3 linked regions of the Arabidopsis thaliana genome follow. The protein of the gene in region 3 purifies or fractionates together with the protein of the main gene of each other region. This does not show direct contact. Each region holds a gene or a part of one and is shown on either strand. Other genes may lie near its edges.

Region 1 (5,333 bases), on a different chromosome or scaffold from region 3:
ATAACAAGAGAGGGTTTTTGTTTTCAAATGTTGGTTTACTGGTTAGGCTTTTATTCTCCACCATGGTATGGTTCCTATAAAGCTACATAAGAATTCATTTTGAAGTTTGTTTGGTGTGTGACCGAAGAACCAAAAAAAAAAAAAACAGTTGCTCATTCTTTGTCTACTTATCTCACTATTCGGCAATGCATATACGTCCTAATCTTTGTTTTGCTTATCTTAGTTATTCTATCTCTCTCCCTTACCTAAAAAGCTGGCTTCAAAGGACTTGACGGATCGTTTATAAAACAGACTAGTCATAAACATAGATTTATATTCGAGATGGCTTCAAATACGAATCTTAAACTGTTTATAGTATATATAGTATCTAATAGCTGCGGGTGTTGTGAAAGGGAACTTAGTGTTGACCATGGTCATGGAGTTTAACCAAGAAGTTTGTTGAACCAAGGATTCACACAATAGATTTGTTTAGAGAGGGAAAACAAATCTAGTAATTTCTCTTCATTAGGTATTCTATCCAAGACTCGATTACAAGAGGGGTTCTAATCTCTTATGAAATACATTAGGGTTTTGCTCAAGAACAGAAAAAGAATTAGAGTTTTAAAAAGGTATAGCTGCATCCATGATGGATTGCCTACGTACCCTGTGAAGGGATCAAGCCATTCGTAGTTTTCAATAGGTATAAAGTTCTATGTTTCTTGTGAATATCCCAAGATCTCCCCCTTTTTGTGAAGTCCCTAAGGCACTTTATATAGGATCCTTAAACCGCCTCCCTAGCGATATTCTTCGGAAGATTCTTATTTATCCTTAGGTCGGTTCTAGAGGATAATCGTCCTAAGGATATTCTCCTTATTCTTCGGAGGTTTTGGGGAGATTTCCTGATTTCGACATTATCTTCAAAGATTCTCCTTTATCATTTCTGAAAGTCCCATAAAAGATCCCATTTTACCGGAAATGATCCTTGGAGAATGAATGGTTTTTACAAGTCTTTGCCTCGCGTGTTCTTCACGGCTCGGTGGTCGTTTGAGAGGTGGCTTCGGGGCAAACGGTATGTACCGGCTCGGGGCGCGCTTGATGACTGTCCATTAAGCTCAGTTGGCTGTCTCCCGAGCCGATATAGATGTTTCCCGCAGCGTTCTCACGATTGGTTCGGGCTGTGTTCATATGATTAACACCCGAGCCATTTTACAAACTCTCTTCGGGACGGTCGATCGAATAAGGTCCCGAGGTGCTTTGTTCTAGGCTAGGGGCCAATCATATGTTTAACCATGAGGTGATTGTTATTCTTAGACTGTTTGGCTCGGTCTTGCTTGTGGGGGAATCCGACCCCAACAAAGTTGTACCTTGACGGAAGAGAGCACGAATGGGATCGGTGCGGGTGTCTGGAAAGTGCCTGAAGAAGGTTCATGTGATGATCAAACTCTGGAATGCTACTGGGAGTACTGACTGTACCAAAACCTCCTCCAACAGTGCCACAGGGAACAAGCAAGCCCCATATCAATGTGTGATGAAGTTGAAGGAGCAGGGTCGTAAGGTGGACTTCCACAGTTAGAAGGAGGCTTGTGTGATGGAGGAGCTCCATATCCTTCGTCATAGTACTGATTTCCGGATCTGAATAAAGAAGCATGGCATCATTTGGAAGTAAGAGATCACATGAGAATACCATCCCTAGAACCGAGAGAGAAAAGTTTATGTTAATAAATTTTTATTGTATAATTGATATTGAAAAACATTAATAAACATTAATAAACAGTGTTCACATAAGGTGTAAATTCACCCCAAAAGCACTCTAAAAAGTAAAAACCAAAAGAGAAAAAAACATAGAAATGGTTACTTAATAATATACCGAGTTTCATCTATTTACTTAATAATATACGGTTATTTGATTTACCGGTTAACTAAAAAATATCTGGTTTAATCGTATTTATTGTTGGCAAACACAACATTGGGCGCGAAGTGGTTTTTGATGCCCTTCAACAACATTTGGGGGTTTCATTTCAATCGCATTTCTAGGGTTTCTTTCTCTACGATTCAATAGATTCGGACGAATTGGGGGATTCTGACCAGAGAGAAGCTATGGAGGAAAACGAAGAGGAAGAAGAATTGCGGCCAACGGCGCTATACACGGTCGGTGGTTCAGACGAATTTACCTTTGTTTCTCCCGATGGGCTCTCCGGTCAATACACGGGCCCTGATCACGACGGCGTAGTTCTTCAGACTGAAAATCCGGCGCCGACTAACTGTCTTGCTTACTACTTCGAGGTTCATATCATGAATGCTGGTGAAAAAGGAGAGATCGCGATTGGTTTCTCCAAGGAACACATCTATAGCGAAGGGTATCGTTTTCTTTCCCTTTCAATTCGCATTTACCACTTATTGCGTGATTTGATACTCAATACAATCATTGATTCTGTTTGATTTGGTACCTGAGACTGAGAGAACAAATTGGGAAATAGGTTTAGATACAATGGTAGATCAGTAGTTCAAATCACTGTTTCAATGGTTTGGATTCGTTACTTGGAAATAGGTTATGTGATTTGCTGCTCAATTTGATTGTGTTGGCTGTTAGATCTGGTATCTTACAAGTTAATGGGAGATTTGCTTTGTTAGATGTTTTCACCTTTCAGTAATTAAGCATTCCAATTCACTGTTTCATGTTTCTCTGTAATGTTAGATATACTGTCAGAAGCTGTGCCTACATTGGTAACAGTGGACTCATATGCTCTCAAAATGGAGATGGTGATCGAACTGTTGCTAAAGCCAGTGACACCTATACAACAGGTGATTTAGTTGGTTGCGGTATAGACTCGGTTTCACAAGAATTCTTTTTCACGTAAGTAATAACTGTTTCCCTATCTGAACATGTTTCATTACAATTGGAAAAGTAGATATCAAGATACACAATTCATTTCTTCATGTCACAATGTTTTTGACATGTCCCTGCGTATGTTTTACTTGCTGACATCTATGACTACTTCTTTGATTATAGGAAAAATGGAACTATCGTAGGGACAATCCCCAGGCAATTTAGGCGTCCTGTATACCCGACAATTGTTTTGCATAGCCAAAACGAAGCTGTCACTGTCAATTTCGGCGGACAGATTGCGTTTTCTTTTGACTTTGAGGTAAGGTCGTACTTTTCTTTTCTTGCATAGTCGGAGAATAACTATTGAGTAAGCAGAATAATATGCATCTCTCACATATGTCCATATTTGCATGTATGTGGCATATTTTTCTGATACAATATTCTATTATCTGATCCACCTTTATTTCAGCATTTTGAAGAATCATTGAGGGTTAAAAAAGAAAGGGAAATTGAAAAGATTTCCATGTCTCGCAGCATTAGTCATGGGTAAAGTGTCTTTTCCTGCCTGTTCTTAATTGTAATTCTTGTTTCTGTTTGTGCTAAAGCTTCCTTTTTCCAGGCTTGTAAAAACCTACCTTCTTCGTTATGGATATGAAGATAGCTTTAGAGCTTTTAACCTGGCTGCAAGTCGTCATACTGTTATTGCACAAGAAAATAGTTTTGATGAGTATGAATTGCATCAAAGGAAAAAGCTCAGAGAGGTACTTTTCACTGCTATGGTTATCTTGCTGTAATTTTTTTTTTATTTTTTTTCTGTGAGGTACAAAATCAACCAAAAGCAAGCTACATTGCTACATCTTTTCTGTTTCATATCGAACTGATCCATGCATTCTGTTTGTTAAAGCTTATAATGACTGCTGAGATTGATGATGCTATTGCTGCACTCAAGGATAGATATCCCCAACTTATTGAGGTGGGCTGAGTAACTAGTTAATATATCGAGTGATTCACATTGTTAACATTCCTTGAACTATTTTAACAAGCTGCTTGTATCATATGCAGGGTGGATCAGAAGCTTATTTTCTTCTTATCTGTCAAAAGATTGTCGAATTAGTACGGGTATGTTCTTTATTCCTTGTATATTTGTTACACATATCCATGGTGTGTTTCTCTAACTAACTACAATGCAGAAAGGAGCAATAGCAGAGGCTAAGTCATTTGGAAATCAAGATTTTAAAGACTTTAGGGATTCAAGCCTACTAAAAAACCTTTTCGATGTATGTAGTGATTCTCTAACTGTTAGATTAGGTTTCTCATATTTGAGTCACTAATAGTTTTGTTTTTCTCTATTTCAGGATTGCTCTGCTTTGTTCGAGTGTGAAACTATAGAAGAATCAGGTGCTGCATATCTTCTAGGAGAAACACAGAAGAACATAGTAGCAGCTGCAGTCAGTGAAGCGATTCTATCTACAAATCCGGCCACCAGAGACCAGCAATCTGCTTCACTTGAGCGAGTGCTTAGACAGTTTGAAGCCACCTGCTCACTCTATGCTCGTGAATAAAATCTTGACTTTTTCTGTTTTTCTTTTTATCTTTTCTCTTGATAGAGTCATTGTGTAAGCTCAAATGTTCTAAAACTAGCGATCATACTTTAACTTGATTCACAACTATATACGAGATTATATTGGAGCTTGAAAATTTTTATTTACAAGTATTTATCTACAAATCGGCAAATATTGAGCTGCTCATACTAATTTTGATAATTTAATCGGCTACAAATTTTAATGACATGTTGTTGTTAGCTGTAAGTTAAAATATGAAATCGAAAGTCTTTTGTTTATTGCTTTCAACTTAAGCCTTTGTGATTACAAGCTATGTCTATTTATACATCTAGATTGATTTAACCTAGTGTCTTCTTGATTTGCATAGCTGTCACTTGGCTGTTATGTGGCGTCGTTGTCTTCACATGATTCAAGAGCCTCATAGCGATTCCTCGTCGTTACTTCCGTACTGCGTGGAGATAAGGACCGCTCTGCAACTTTTCTGCTTTTGTCCTTTGTTGTTGCAGGTTGTCGTTGCACTATGTTGGGCTTGGCTCTTGGATTGGGCACTTGTTTCGGATTGGGCTTTAATGGTTTTGAGCCCAATTCCAAAACTGTGTCGTTTGGAGCTGTTCTGTTGATACTCCCCCTCAAACTTGGAGGAGGTGGGAAATCGACACCAAGTTTGAATCGGAGAGATTCGAAAGGAGCCTTGGCGAGAGACTTTGTAAATATGTCAGCGAGCTGTAGATAACCCGGGATATGATGGACGATGAGCTCACCAAAAGCTACCTGCTCTCGGACATAATGATAGTGAGTTGCAAAATGCTTTGTCCGAGCATGAAACGATGGATTCGCTGTAAGGTAAACGGCAGAGAGGTTGTCGCAGAAGAGTTCGGGGAGCTGTAACTGCGGAACACCCAGATCACGAAGTAAATTGACTAGCCATGTGATTTCCGAGGCTGTATCGGACATAGAGCGATATT
Region 2 (5,822 bases), on a different chromosome or scaffold from region 3:
TCTCCTATACATCAGAGGAACAACAACCATGGGAATTTCATTCAACAAGGACACAGATTGTCAACTCCGAGCTTACAGTGTCAGTGATCACGCCGGTTGTCATGGTACACGTCGCTCCACCGGTGGCTTCTGTACATTTCTTGCCAACAATTTAATCTCCTGGTCTTCTCGAAAGCAAGTCTCAGTCGCCAAAAGCTCAACCGAAGCTGAATATCGCTCTATGTCCGATACAGCCTCGAAAATCACATGGCTAGTCAATTTACTTCGTGATTTGGGTGTTCCGCAGTTATAGCTCCCCGAACTCTTCTGCGACAACCTCTCTGCCGTTTACCTTACAGCGAATCCATCGTTTCATGCTCGGACAAAGCATTTTGCAACTCACTATCATTATGTCCGAGAGCAGGTAGCTTTTGGTGAGCTCATCGTCCATCATATCCCGGGTTATCTACAGCTCGCTGACATATTTACAAAGTCTCTCGCCAAGGCTCCTTTCGAATCTCTCCGATTCAAACTTGGTGTCGATTTCCCACCTCCTCCAAGTTTGAGGGGGAGTATCAACAGAACAGCTCCAAACGACACAGTTTTGGAATTGGGCTCAAAACCATTAAAGCCCAATCCGAAACAAGTGCCCAATCCAAGAGCCAAGCCCAACATAGTGCAACGACAACCTGCAACAACAAAGGACAAAAGCAGAAAAGTTGCAGAGCGGTCCTTATCTCCACGCAGTACGGAAGTAACGACGAGGAATCGCTATGAGGCTCTTGAATCATGTGAAGACAACGACGCCACATAACAGCCAAGTGACAGCTATGCAAATCAAGAAGACACTAGGTTAAATCAATCTAGATGTATAAATAGACATAGCTTGTAATCACAAAGGCTTAAGTTGAAAGCAATAAACAAAAGACTTTCGATTTCATATTTTAACTTACAGCTAACAACAACATGTCATTAAAATTTGTAGCCGATTAAATTATCAAAATTAGTATGAGCAGCTCAATATTTGCCGATTTGTAGATAAATACTTGTAAATAAAAATTTTCAAGCTCCAATATAATCTCGTATATAGTTGTGAATCAAGTTAAAGTATGATCGCTAGTTTTAGAACATTTGAGCTTACACAATGACTCTATCAAGAGAAAAGATAAAAAGAAAAACAGAAAAAGTCAAGATTTTATTCACGAGCATAGAGTGAGCAGGTGGCTTCAAACTGTCTAAGCACTCGCTCAAGTGAAGCAGATTGCTGGTCTCTGGTGGCCGGATTTGTAGATAGAATCGCTTCACTGACTGCAGCTGCTACTATGTTCTTCTGTGTTTCTCCTAGAAGATATGCAGCACCTGATTCTTCTATAGTTTCACACTCGAACAAAGCAGAGCAATCCTGAAATAGAGAAAAACAAAACTATTAGTGACTCAAATATGAGAAACCTAATCTAACAGTTAGAGAATCACTACATACATCGAAAAGGTTTTTTAGTAGGCTTGAATCCCTAAAGTCTTTAAAATCTTGATTTCCAAATGACTTAGCCTCTGCTATTGCTCCTTTCTGCATTGTAGTTAGTTAGAGAAACACACCATGGATATGTGTAACAAATATACAAGGAATAAAGAACATACCCGTACTAATTCGACAATCTTTTGACAGATAAGAAGAAAATAAGCTTCTGATCCACCCTGCATATGATACAAGCAGCTTGTTAAAATAGTTCAAGGAATGTTAACAATGTGAATCACTCGATATATTAACTAGTTACTCAGCCCACCTCAATAAGTTGGGGATATCTATCCTTGAGTGCAGCAATAGCATCATCAATCTCAGCAGTCATTATAAGCTTTAACAAACAGAATGCATGGATCAGTTCGATATGAAACAGAAAAGATGTAGCAATGTAGCTTGCTTTTGGTTGATTTTGTACCTCACAGAAAAAAAATAAAAAAAAAATTACAGCAAGATAACCATAGCAGTGAAAAGTACCTCTCTGAGCTTTTTCCTTTGATGCAATTCATACTCATCAAAACTATTTTCTTGTGCAATAACAGTATGACGACTTGCAGCCAGGTTAAAAGCTCTAAAGCTATCTTCATATCCATAACGAAGAAGGTAGGTTTTTACAAGCCTGGAAAAAGGAAGCTTTAGCACAAACAGAAACAAGAATTACAATTAAGAACAGGCAGGAAAAGACACTTTACCCATGACTAATGCTGCGAGACATGGAAATCTTTTCAATTTCCCTTTCTTTTTTAACCCTCAATGATTCTTCAAAATGCTGAAATAAAGGTGGATCAGATAATAGAATATTGTATCAGAAAAATATGCCACATACATGCAAATATGGACATATGTGAGAGATGCATATTATTCTGCTTACTCAATAGTTATTCTCCGACTATGCAAGAAAAGAAAAGTACGACCTTACCTCAAAGTCAAAAGAAAACGCAATCTGTCCGCCGAAATTGACAGTGACAGCTTCGTTTTGGCTATGCAAAACAATTGTCGGGTATACAGGACGCCTAAATTGCCTGGGGATTGTCCCTACGATAGTTCCATTTTTCCTATAATCAAAGAAGTAGTCATAGATGTCAGCAAGTAAAACATACGCAGGGACATGTCAAAAACATTGTGACATGAAGAAATGAATTGTGTATCTTGATATCTACTTTTCCAATTGTAATGAAACATGTTCAGATAGGGAAACAGTTATTACTTACGTGAAAAAGAATTCTTGTGAAACCGAGTCTATACCGCAACCAACTAAATCACCTGTTGTATAGGTGTCACTGGCTTTAGCAACAGTTCGATCACCATCTCCATTTTGAGAGCATATGAGTCCACTGTTACCAATGTAGGCACAGCTTCTGACAGTATATCTAACATTACAGAGAAACATGAAACAGTGAATTGGAATGCTTAATTACTGAAAGGTGAAAACATCTAACAAAGCAAATCTCCCATTAACTTGTAAGATACCAGATCTAACAGCCAACACAATCAAATTGAGCAGCAAATCACATAACCTATTTCCAAGTAACGAATCCAAACCATTGAAACAGTGATTTGAACTACTGATCTACCATTGTATCTAAACCTATTTCCCAATTTGTTCTCTCAGTCTCAGGTACCAAATCAAACAGAATCAATGATTGTATTGAGTATCAAATCACGCAATAAGTGGTAAATGCGAATTGAAAGGGAAAGAAAACGATACCCTTCGCTATAGATGTGTTCCTTGGAGAAACCAATCGCGATCTCTCCTTTTTCACCAGCATTCATGATATGAACCTCGAAGTAGTAAGCAAGACAGTTAGTCGGCGCCGGATTTTCAGTCTGAAGAACTACGCCGTCGTGATCAGGGCCCGTGTATTGACCGGAGAGCCCATCGGGAGAAACAAAGGTAAATTCGTCTGAACCACCGACCGTGTATAGCGCCGTTGGCCGCAATTCTTCTTCCTCTTCGTTTTCCTCCATAGCTTCTCTCTGGTCAGAATCCCCCAATTCGTCCGAATCTATTGAATCGTAGAGAAAGAAACCCTAGAAATGCGATTGAAATGAAACCCCCAAATGTTGTTGAAGGGCATCAAAAACCACTTCGCGCCCAATGTTGTGTTTGCCAACAATAAATACGATTAAACCAGATATTTTTTAGTTAACCGGTAAATCAAATAACCGTATATTATTAAGTAAATAGATGAAACTCGGTATATTATTAAGTAACCATTTCTATGTTTTTTTCTCTTTTGGTTTTTACTTTTTAGAGTGCTTTTGGGGTGAATTTACACCTTATGTGAACACTGTTTATTAATGTTTTTCAATATCAATTATACAATAAAAATTTATTAACATAAACTTTTCTCTCTCGGTTCTAGGGATGGTATTCTCATGTGATCTCTTACTTCCAAATGATGCCATGCTTCTTTATTCAGATCCGGAAATCAGTACTATGACGAAGGATATGGAGCTCCTCCATCACACAAGCCTCCTTCTAACTGTGGAAGTCCACCTTACGACCCTGCTCCTTCAACTTCATCACACATTGATATGGGGCTTGCTTGTTCCCTGTGGCACTGTTGGAGGAGGTTTTGGTACAGTCAGTACTCCCAGTAGCATTCCAGAGTTTGATCATCACATGAACCTTCTTCAGGCACTTTCCAGACACCCGCACCGATCCCATTCGTGCTCTCTTCCGTCAAGGTACAACTTCGTTGGGGTCGGATTCCCCCACAAGCAAGACCGAGCCAAACAGTCTAAGAATAACAATCACCTCATGGTTAAACATATGATTGGCCCCTAGCCTAGAACAAAGCACCTCGGGACCTTATTCGATCGACCGTCCCGAAGAGAGTTTGTAAAATGGCTCGGGTGTTAATCATATGAACACAGCCCGAGCCAATCGTGAGAACGCTGCGGGACACATCTATATCGGCTCGGGAGACAGCCAACTGAGCTTAATGGACAGTCATCAAGCGCGCCCCGAGCCGGTACATACCGTTTGCCCCGAAGCCACCTCTCAAACGACCACCGAGCCGTGAAGAACACGCGAGGCAAAGACTTGTAAAAACCATTCATTCTCCAAGGATCATTTCCGGTAAAATGGGATCTTTTATGGGACTTTCAGAAATGATAAAGGAGAATCTTTGAAGATAATGTCGAAATCAGGAAATCTCCCCAAAACCTCCGAAGAATAAGGAGAATATCCTTAGGACGATTATCCTCTAGAACCGACCTAAGGATAAATAAGAATCTTCCGAAGAATATCGCTAGGGAGGCGGTTTAAGGATCCTATATAAAGTGCCTTAGGGACTTCACAAAAAGGGGGAGATCTTGGGATATTCACAAGAAACATAGAACTTTATACCTATTGAGAACTACGAATGGCTTGATCCCTTCACAGGGTACGTAGGCAATCCATCATGGATGCAGCTATACCTTTTTAAAACTTTAATTCTTTTTCTGTTCTTGAGCAAAACCCTAATGTATTTCATAAGAGATTAGAACCCCTCTTGTAATCGAGTCTTGGATAGAATACCTAATGAAGAGAAATTACTAGATTTGTTTTCCCTCTCTAAACAAATCTATTGTGTGAATCCTTGGTTCAACAAACTTCTTGGTTAAACTCCATGACCATGGTCAACACTAAGTTCCCTTTCACAACACCCGCAGCTATTAGATACTATATATACTATAAACAGTTTAAGATTCGTATTTGAAGCCATCTCGAATATAAATCTATGTTTATGACTAGTCTGTTTTATAAACGATCCGTCAAGTCCTTTGAAGCCAGCTTTTTAGGTAAGGGAGAGAGATAGAATAACTAAGATAAGCAAAACAAAGATTAGGACGTATATGCATTGCCGAATAGTGAGATAAGTAGACAAAGAATGAGCAACTGTTTTTTTTTTTTTGGTTCTTCGGTCACACACCAAACAAACTTCAAAATGAATTCTTATGTAGCTTTATAGGAACCATACCATGGTGGAGAATAAAAGCCTAACCAGTAAACCAACATTTGAAAACAAAAACCCTCTCTTGTTATTAGTACTACCTAGGGGTCCAATATTGTCATGAATAAGAAAATCCCTAAATCATAAGAGCAAGGCTAAAAACTCCCCCCTCACTCAAAATACTCACTAGGAAGAAATGGTCATCATGTTCTTGCGACAGATCAGTTATATATCACTATATATGTTCCCTTTTGCAGAGCCGTTAGTTGTTGAAAGGGAAGAAGAATCATTCTGGTCGGTATATGAGCTGGCCAGTGGAAAAATCATTCATGCGTGGATACACATAGACTGTTTTTTCATCCAGTTGATTCTGAGTCCAAATC
Region 3 (5,558 bases):
AGACTGTTAGATTTTTATTAAATCAAATTTAACTTGAAAATAAATCAAAATCTTCACTCTTCATTTTGATTAAACTAAACAAAAAATAAACTAAACAATTTAGGAGTTTTTTCTTTTTTCTTTTTTGAAGTTTTTTATTGATTTGGTCATTTTGCATGATATTATAATTATTACGGTTATATTTCATAATTAGTTTAATCGTGTATGTCCAACTTTTTTAATTGAACTAGATTATTAGTTAAACTAAACCGAACTACATTTGGTTAGACTATTAGATTTTTATTATATCAAACTTAACTTGAAAATAAATCAAAATCCTCACTCTCGATTAACAATAAACGTTTTCCCTTTCTTCCCCTTCTTGCGCTTGTTCTTTTCAAGCTTCTTCTCCTTCATCAACTTTTCAATAAACTCATCGTTCTTTTTCTCAAACTCTCTCAGAAGTTTCTTAAGTTGCTGCTTGTCGTTTGCCAGTTTCCTTAAATCTGCAGTAGTTAGTTTGATTTTACTTCCAAACTTGATTCACAGAGAAATAAGCTTCCTTATGTCATTCTCCACGTCATCCTCCTCCTCCTCTTTCTTCTTGTCCTTCTTCTTCTCCTTGAGATCCCAGATAATGCCAACTTCTTCTTCAAGGATTTTTGTATCAAAGTAGTCATTTTCGTTACCAGGTGCAGAAACAGTCCACTTGGAGTAGTTGATAAGGTCACGTTCAAGGTTAAAGTGATGAATGGCATATGTGTATGCAACAGACACAGATCCATCCTTTTCCCATGAGACATGAGCCTCTTCTTTCTCCTTCTCCACAAGAACCTTTTCAACTCCCTCTTCTTTCCCTTGAGCTTCAAGTCCCTCTTTCCTCTCCTGAACCACACGTTGAACTCCTTTGGCCACTAAAGGATGCCAAAAATCCTCGAAAAGGAATCGAGGCTTTGGAGCCTAAGAGAGTATCTCTTTGTGAATAGTTTTAACAAGCACAGTGTAAAAATTTTCTTCCTTGACATTTTTTCTTCTGGTAATGAGAAATAAGATAAAAATTTGGAGAAAAAGAGGATGAAGCAGAAGAAGAAGTATGTAAAAAGAGTAGTTATAGGTGGTTAAACTTAAAGCTATCATTGTTGTCGTCTTGTATGGGGGAGGAACACTCAAAATCGTTTCACAGAGACTTGCAGGAGGTTTCTTATTTTATGAGGACAAGAGGTGAGAAGTAGAGGAAGCCCAAAGTTGGTTATTTTCCTTTTCAAGATTTTTCAACAATTAATAAGAAATATTATATGAACGTATCTTTAAATCAATTAATTATTAGCATTTGTTTTCATAAACCTTATAAGGCATCCCCTTGTTCTCCAAAACAATTACTGTCATCCTCTTTCTAAGTGAAAATTATATTTTTTTTTATCGTCTCTAAGTTGTTTAAGGGGTTAAAATACTAATTACAAAAACACAATCTAAAACATAAATAATAAATACGTTTATCTCTTACATATTTTTGCTGAGATTTTTTTATTAGAAGTATAAAGATTTTTGGGGAAATTTGATACTAAGGATCTTTTTTAGAACTAAAAAGGAAAACAAAAATATTTTACAAAATGATATATTTCGATATATAAAGTTTTAATGCAGTAATGAAACTCAAAATGATTGATAACACTTTCTAATACTTTTATGTTGCAAAAACAAAATCATGGTGCAAAATCCACTACTTTTATGTTGTAGTATATTTCTAGAAGAAATTTGGTTTCATGGTATATATTGGGTATTAAATAAAGATTGGACTATCTTCCCTTTGGCTTTGGTGTGTCATAGATAGTGATAAGAAATACCTCTTTTTTTGGGCATTATTTGTTGACAAACGATATAGAAAATTATAAACAAAATAAAGATCATTGGAAAAACATCATTTGACCAAAGATGTGTATATGTGTCCCAATCAGAAAGTTCATAACAAGTTCCTCTCTTCTCTTCTCAATTCTTATGCATCCACATCATCATTGATTTAATGCTTTTAAAAACAGAACATTACATTTATTTTTTTAAAAATGTATTACTTTTTGGACAATACAAGTTTGATACATATAACGGATTTCGCAAAATATTTCATGTTCTTTTTGCAAACAAATAATCCCCAAAAAAAACTAAAGGAAAAGAAATTCGTAAAGACCAAACTCGTAATAAAGAGTATATACTGTTTCCCCTTAAAAAAAAAAACCAACCTAAAATTAAAACCCGTGGGTTTAAGGATTTGATCTTTTAATGTTCACAAAATCGAGACCCTAAATTGCTCTCACACTCACTTCCCAATCTTCTTAGTTCAATTTCAATTTTTAGAATTAGAATCTCTGAATCCCAGATTCCGGTAGAGAAGATGAGTTTCGCGGCCTATAAGATGATGCATTGGCCTACCGGCGTCGAGAACTGTGCTTCCGGCTATATCACCCACTCTCTCTCCGATTCAACGCTACAGATTCCGATTGTTTCCGTTCATGATGATATTGAAGCTGAGTGGCCTAATCCTAAACGAGGTATTGGTCCTTTGCCCAACGTCGTTATAACCGCCGCAAATATCCTTGAGGTGTACATCGTTAGGGCTCAAGAGGAAGGGAATACTCAGGAGCTGAGGAATCCGAAGCTTGCTAAGCGTGGTGGAGTTATGGATGGTGTCTATGGTGTTTCTCTCGAGCTCGTGTGCCATTATAGGTACGTGTTTGTTGACAATTACCTCCTAAATTACTCCAATTTTGGTACTTTGACTTTGAAGTGACGATGTGATTGGTATTGGATTGTAGGTTGCACGGTAATGTTGAGTCAATTGCGGTTCTTCCTATGGGAGGTGGTAATTCTTCTAAGGGAAGAGATTCGATTATATTGACATTTCGCGACGCCAAAATTTCAGTTCTTGAGTTTGATGATTCAATTCACAGCCTTAGGATGACGTAAGAGTGTTTTGCTTTTGTTGGTTTTGGTAAATAAATAAATGAATTCAGCTTTAGTTTCAGCTCTGTCTCCTCTCAATTGTTTCTTTTGACCTATATACGAGATGTTCTGTGTCCAACTATTGTTTTAACTGTTTTATACTTCTCAAAGTTTTGGTCTTTACTTACGCATTGTTATTGTTTCTAGCGATGCAAGTTACGTAGTATTGGATCATATACTGAAGCGTTCTATTGTCTATGTCTGATTGTTTCTTCTAGTTATCTAATTTATGTACCATTGACTCCTATACATGACTTCAACAAATAATAATGGATATGTGGTTCCTTTTCAGTTCGATGCATTGTTTTGAGGGTCCAGATTGGCTTCATCTGAAAAGAGGAAGAGAGTCTTTTCCAAGAGGCCCTTTGGTAAAAGTGGATCCTCAAGGCAGATGTGGCGGCGTTCTTGTTTATGGTTTGCAGATGATCATACTCAAGACTTCCCAGGTTTTTGTTTTGGCATTATTAATCAACTTCATCTTAACTGTCGCTTTATCTGCTACAAATTTCCAACCTTCATTCTTTTCTTTTATGAACTTTATTTTGGGTTTTAGGTTGGTTCTGGACTAGTTGGAGATGATGATGCGTTCAGTTCTGGAGGGACAGTTTCTGCTCGAGTTGAATCATCTTACATAATTAACTTGCGTGATCTGGAAATGAAACACGTCAAAGATTTTGTTTTTCTACATGGTAGGTTTAGCAAGCAAGGTTTCTTCATAAACTTATCTCTGAATCAGTAGTTAATCATAAATATATTATGATGATTGTTTCTTAGCTGCTCAACTTGCATCGAATCTTGTGTCCTTGAATGGATCTAGCTTACTAAGTTGTTGTTTGTAGATTCAATACGACAACTGATGTATTCTGGTCATGATTACAGTTTGAAACAAGAGGAAATGTATTGTTTCTTTGATTTTTCAATAACTAGCTGTCTGAAATTTTAGATATTCTAGTTTTCCCAGTAGGCATAAAGAATAAACTAAGTGGTGCTTCTTTTGATTATGTGTTTTTGCATCCTGTGTCTTCTTCAGGTTATATTGAGCCTGTAATTGTCATCCTTCAGGAAGAAGAGCATACTTGGGCTGGGCGAGTTTCATGGAAGCACCATACTTGCGTGCTTTCTGCCCTTAGTATCAATTCGACATTAAAACAACACCCAGTCATCTGGTCAGCTATTGTATGTTCGTATTTTCCTCTTTGTATCTTATAATAGATCTCTTCCCAAGAAATTAAATATTTGAGTTGCACTATTAACTATATTGTAAGCTAAGGGTAGAAATTGAAGTCATCTAAAAGGTTATTGAATATCCACTGTTGTTACATGACTAGACTTTCCAATCAGCTATGACGATGCTCTATTTTTTGTTTAGAATGCTCAAAGAGTTGATCTTTCTTTAGGAAAAATTTCCTAAAATAACAAGCTATTTCATGACTGAAATAGTTACTTCGGCAAACGTTAGTCCCTGATCATACTTATTCCCATTCTTTTGGTATTTTCCAGAATCTGCCCCATGATGCCTACAAACTACTTGCAGTACCATCTCCGATCGGAGGTGTTCTTGTGTTGTGTGCAAATACAATCCATTATCATAGTCAGGTAGTTTTATATTACTTAGCTTTTGGTTGTTTCTTGTTTAAAATTCAACAATTCCAGCCACTCCACCTCAAAGTTCTACAGTTACTCACACATCTGGATACCATATATATTTGTAGTCAGCCTCCTGTGCTCTGGCACTGAACAATTATGCCTCCTCAGCTGATAGCAGGTACAGTTTTCTCGCACCTCCCCACTCTTCAAAACCTGCTTCATGCTTATGGATATAATCTTGTTACCTCAGTCTTAGTTTAGAATCCTAAAGCTTAGAATCAACTTTCAACATTTGTAAAACTCTGTTTATACTGTTAACCACATTTCTATCTCTGTGTGCGTCTGATTTCTTTCAGTCAAGAACTGCCTGCATCAAATTTCAGTGTGGAGCTTGATGCTGCCCATGGAACCTGGATATCGAACGATGTGGCCCTATTGTCGACAAAATCTGGGGAATTGTTGCTGCTGACTCTTATATATGATGGGCGGTAGTATTTTGATCTTCTTTAAAAAAAAATCTTCTGACGCTTGTAAAGCTGGCTGCAACTTATTTTGTTTAAAATATGTGAAACTGACTGCTACTTTCTTTTTTGAAGTGCTGTACAGAGACTTGATCTTTCCAAATCAAAAGCCTCTGTGCTTGCTTCGGTTAGTCAATATGTTCTTTCAGCATATTTGTACTTCAATTTGGATCCTGTTCGATTAGAGATTCCCTATGATGATATACCAAATTTCTTGCAGGACATTACTAGTGTTGGAAATTCCCTTTTCTTTTTAGGTAGCCGGTTGGGAGACAGTTTACTGGTGCAATTTTCCTGTAGATCTGGGCCTGCAGCATCATTACCTGGCTTGAGAGATGAGGTGATAGTTTAATCTTTCTTAGGCTGGTCAGAGTAACTTCTTTTTAAAATTGTTAATCCAGAACTTGAAAATTTCCTAAATTTATGCAGGATGAAGACATTGAAGGTGAGGGTCATCAAGCAAAACGTTTGAGGATG

What was found. The genes of interacting proteins can lie anywhere in the genome.
Region 1: the proteins of CPSF160 (region 3) and AT4G09250 fractionate together in Arabidopsis thaliana (co-fractionation; one large-scale study listed by BioGRID). This does not show direct contact.
Region 2: the proteins of CPSF160 (region 3) and AT4G09310 fractionate together in Arabidopsis thaliana (co-fractionation; one large-scale study listed by BioGRID). This does not show direct contact.

The regions. Positions count from the first base shown.
Region 1 is NC_003075.7:5,874,611-5,879,943, forward strand, and holds AT4G09250 (SPla/RYanodine receptor (SPRY) domain-containing protein), read left to right. Parts: upstream 1-1,967; 5' UTR 1,968-2,076; coding exon 2,077-2,336; intron 2,337-2,674; coding exon 2,675-2,833; intron 2,834-2,989; coding exon 2,990-3,125; intron 3,126-3,275; coding exon 3,276-3,352; intron 3,353-3,425; coding exon 3,426-3,567; intron 3,568-3,710; coding exon 3,711-3,779; intron 3,780-4,161; coding exon 4,162-4,368; downstream 4,369-5,333.
Region 2 is NC_003075.7:5,900,593-5,906,414, reverse strand, and holds AT4G09310 (SPla/RYanodine receptor (SPRY) domain-containing protein), read right to left. Parts: upstream 3,603-5,822; 5' UTR 3,467-3,602; coding exon 3,207-3,466; intron 2,869-3,206; coding exon 2,710-2,868; intron 2,554-2,709; coding exon 2,418-2,553; intron 2,268-2,417; coding exon 2,191-2,267; intron 2,118-2,190; coding exon 1,976-2,117; intron 1,833-1,975; coding exon 1,764-1,832; intron 1,675-1,763; coding exon 1,618-1,674; intron 1,547-1,617; coding exon 1,460-1,546; intron 1,382-1,459; coding exon 1,175-1,381; 3' UTR 966-1,174; downstream 1-965. Other genes in the region: AT4G09300 (LisH and RanBPM domains containing protein), read right to left, coding at 5,726-5,822.
Region 3 is NC_003076.8:20,977,885-20,983,442, forward strand, and holds the start of CPSF160 (cleavage and polyadenylation specificity factor 160), read left to right. Parts: upstream 1-2,120; 5' UTR 2,121-2,365; coding exon 2,366-2,697; intron 2,698-2,786; coding exon 2,787-2,933; intron 2,934-3,265; coding exon 3,266-3,419; intron 3,420-3,526; coding exon 3,527-3,662; intron 3,663-4,003; coding exon 4,004-4,149; intron 4,150-4,473; coding exon 4,474-4,569; intron 4,570-4,685; coding exon 4,686-4,738; intron 4,739-4,916; coding exon 4,917-5,048; intron 5,049-5,156; coding exon 5,157-5,208; intron 5,209-5,301; coding exon 5,302-5,421; intron 5,422-5,510; coding exon 5,511-5,558. Other genes in the region: AT5G51650 (uncharacterized protein), read right to left, coding at 319-516, 559-939, 1,324-1,365. UniProt on the Arabidopsis thaliana protein: CPSF plays a key role in pre-mRNA 3'-end formation, recognizing the AAUAAA signal sequence and interacting with poly(A)polymerase and other factors to bring about cleavage and poly(A) addition.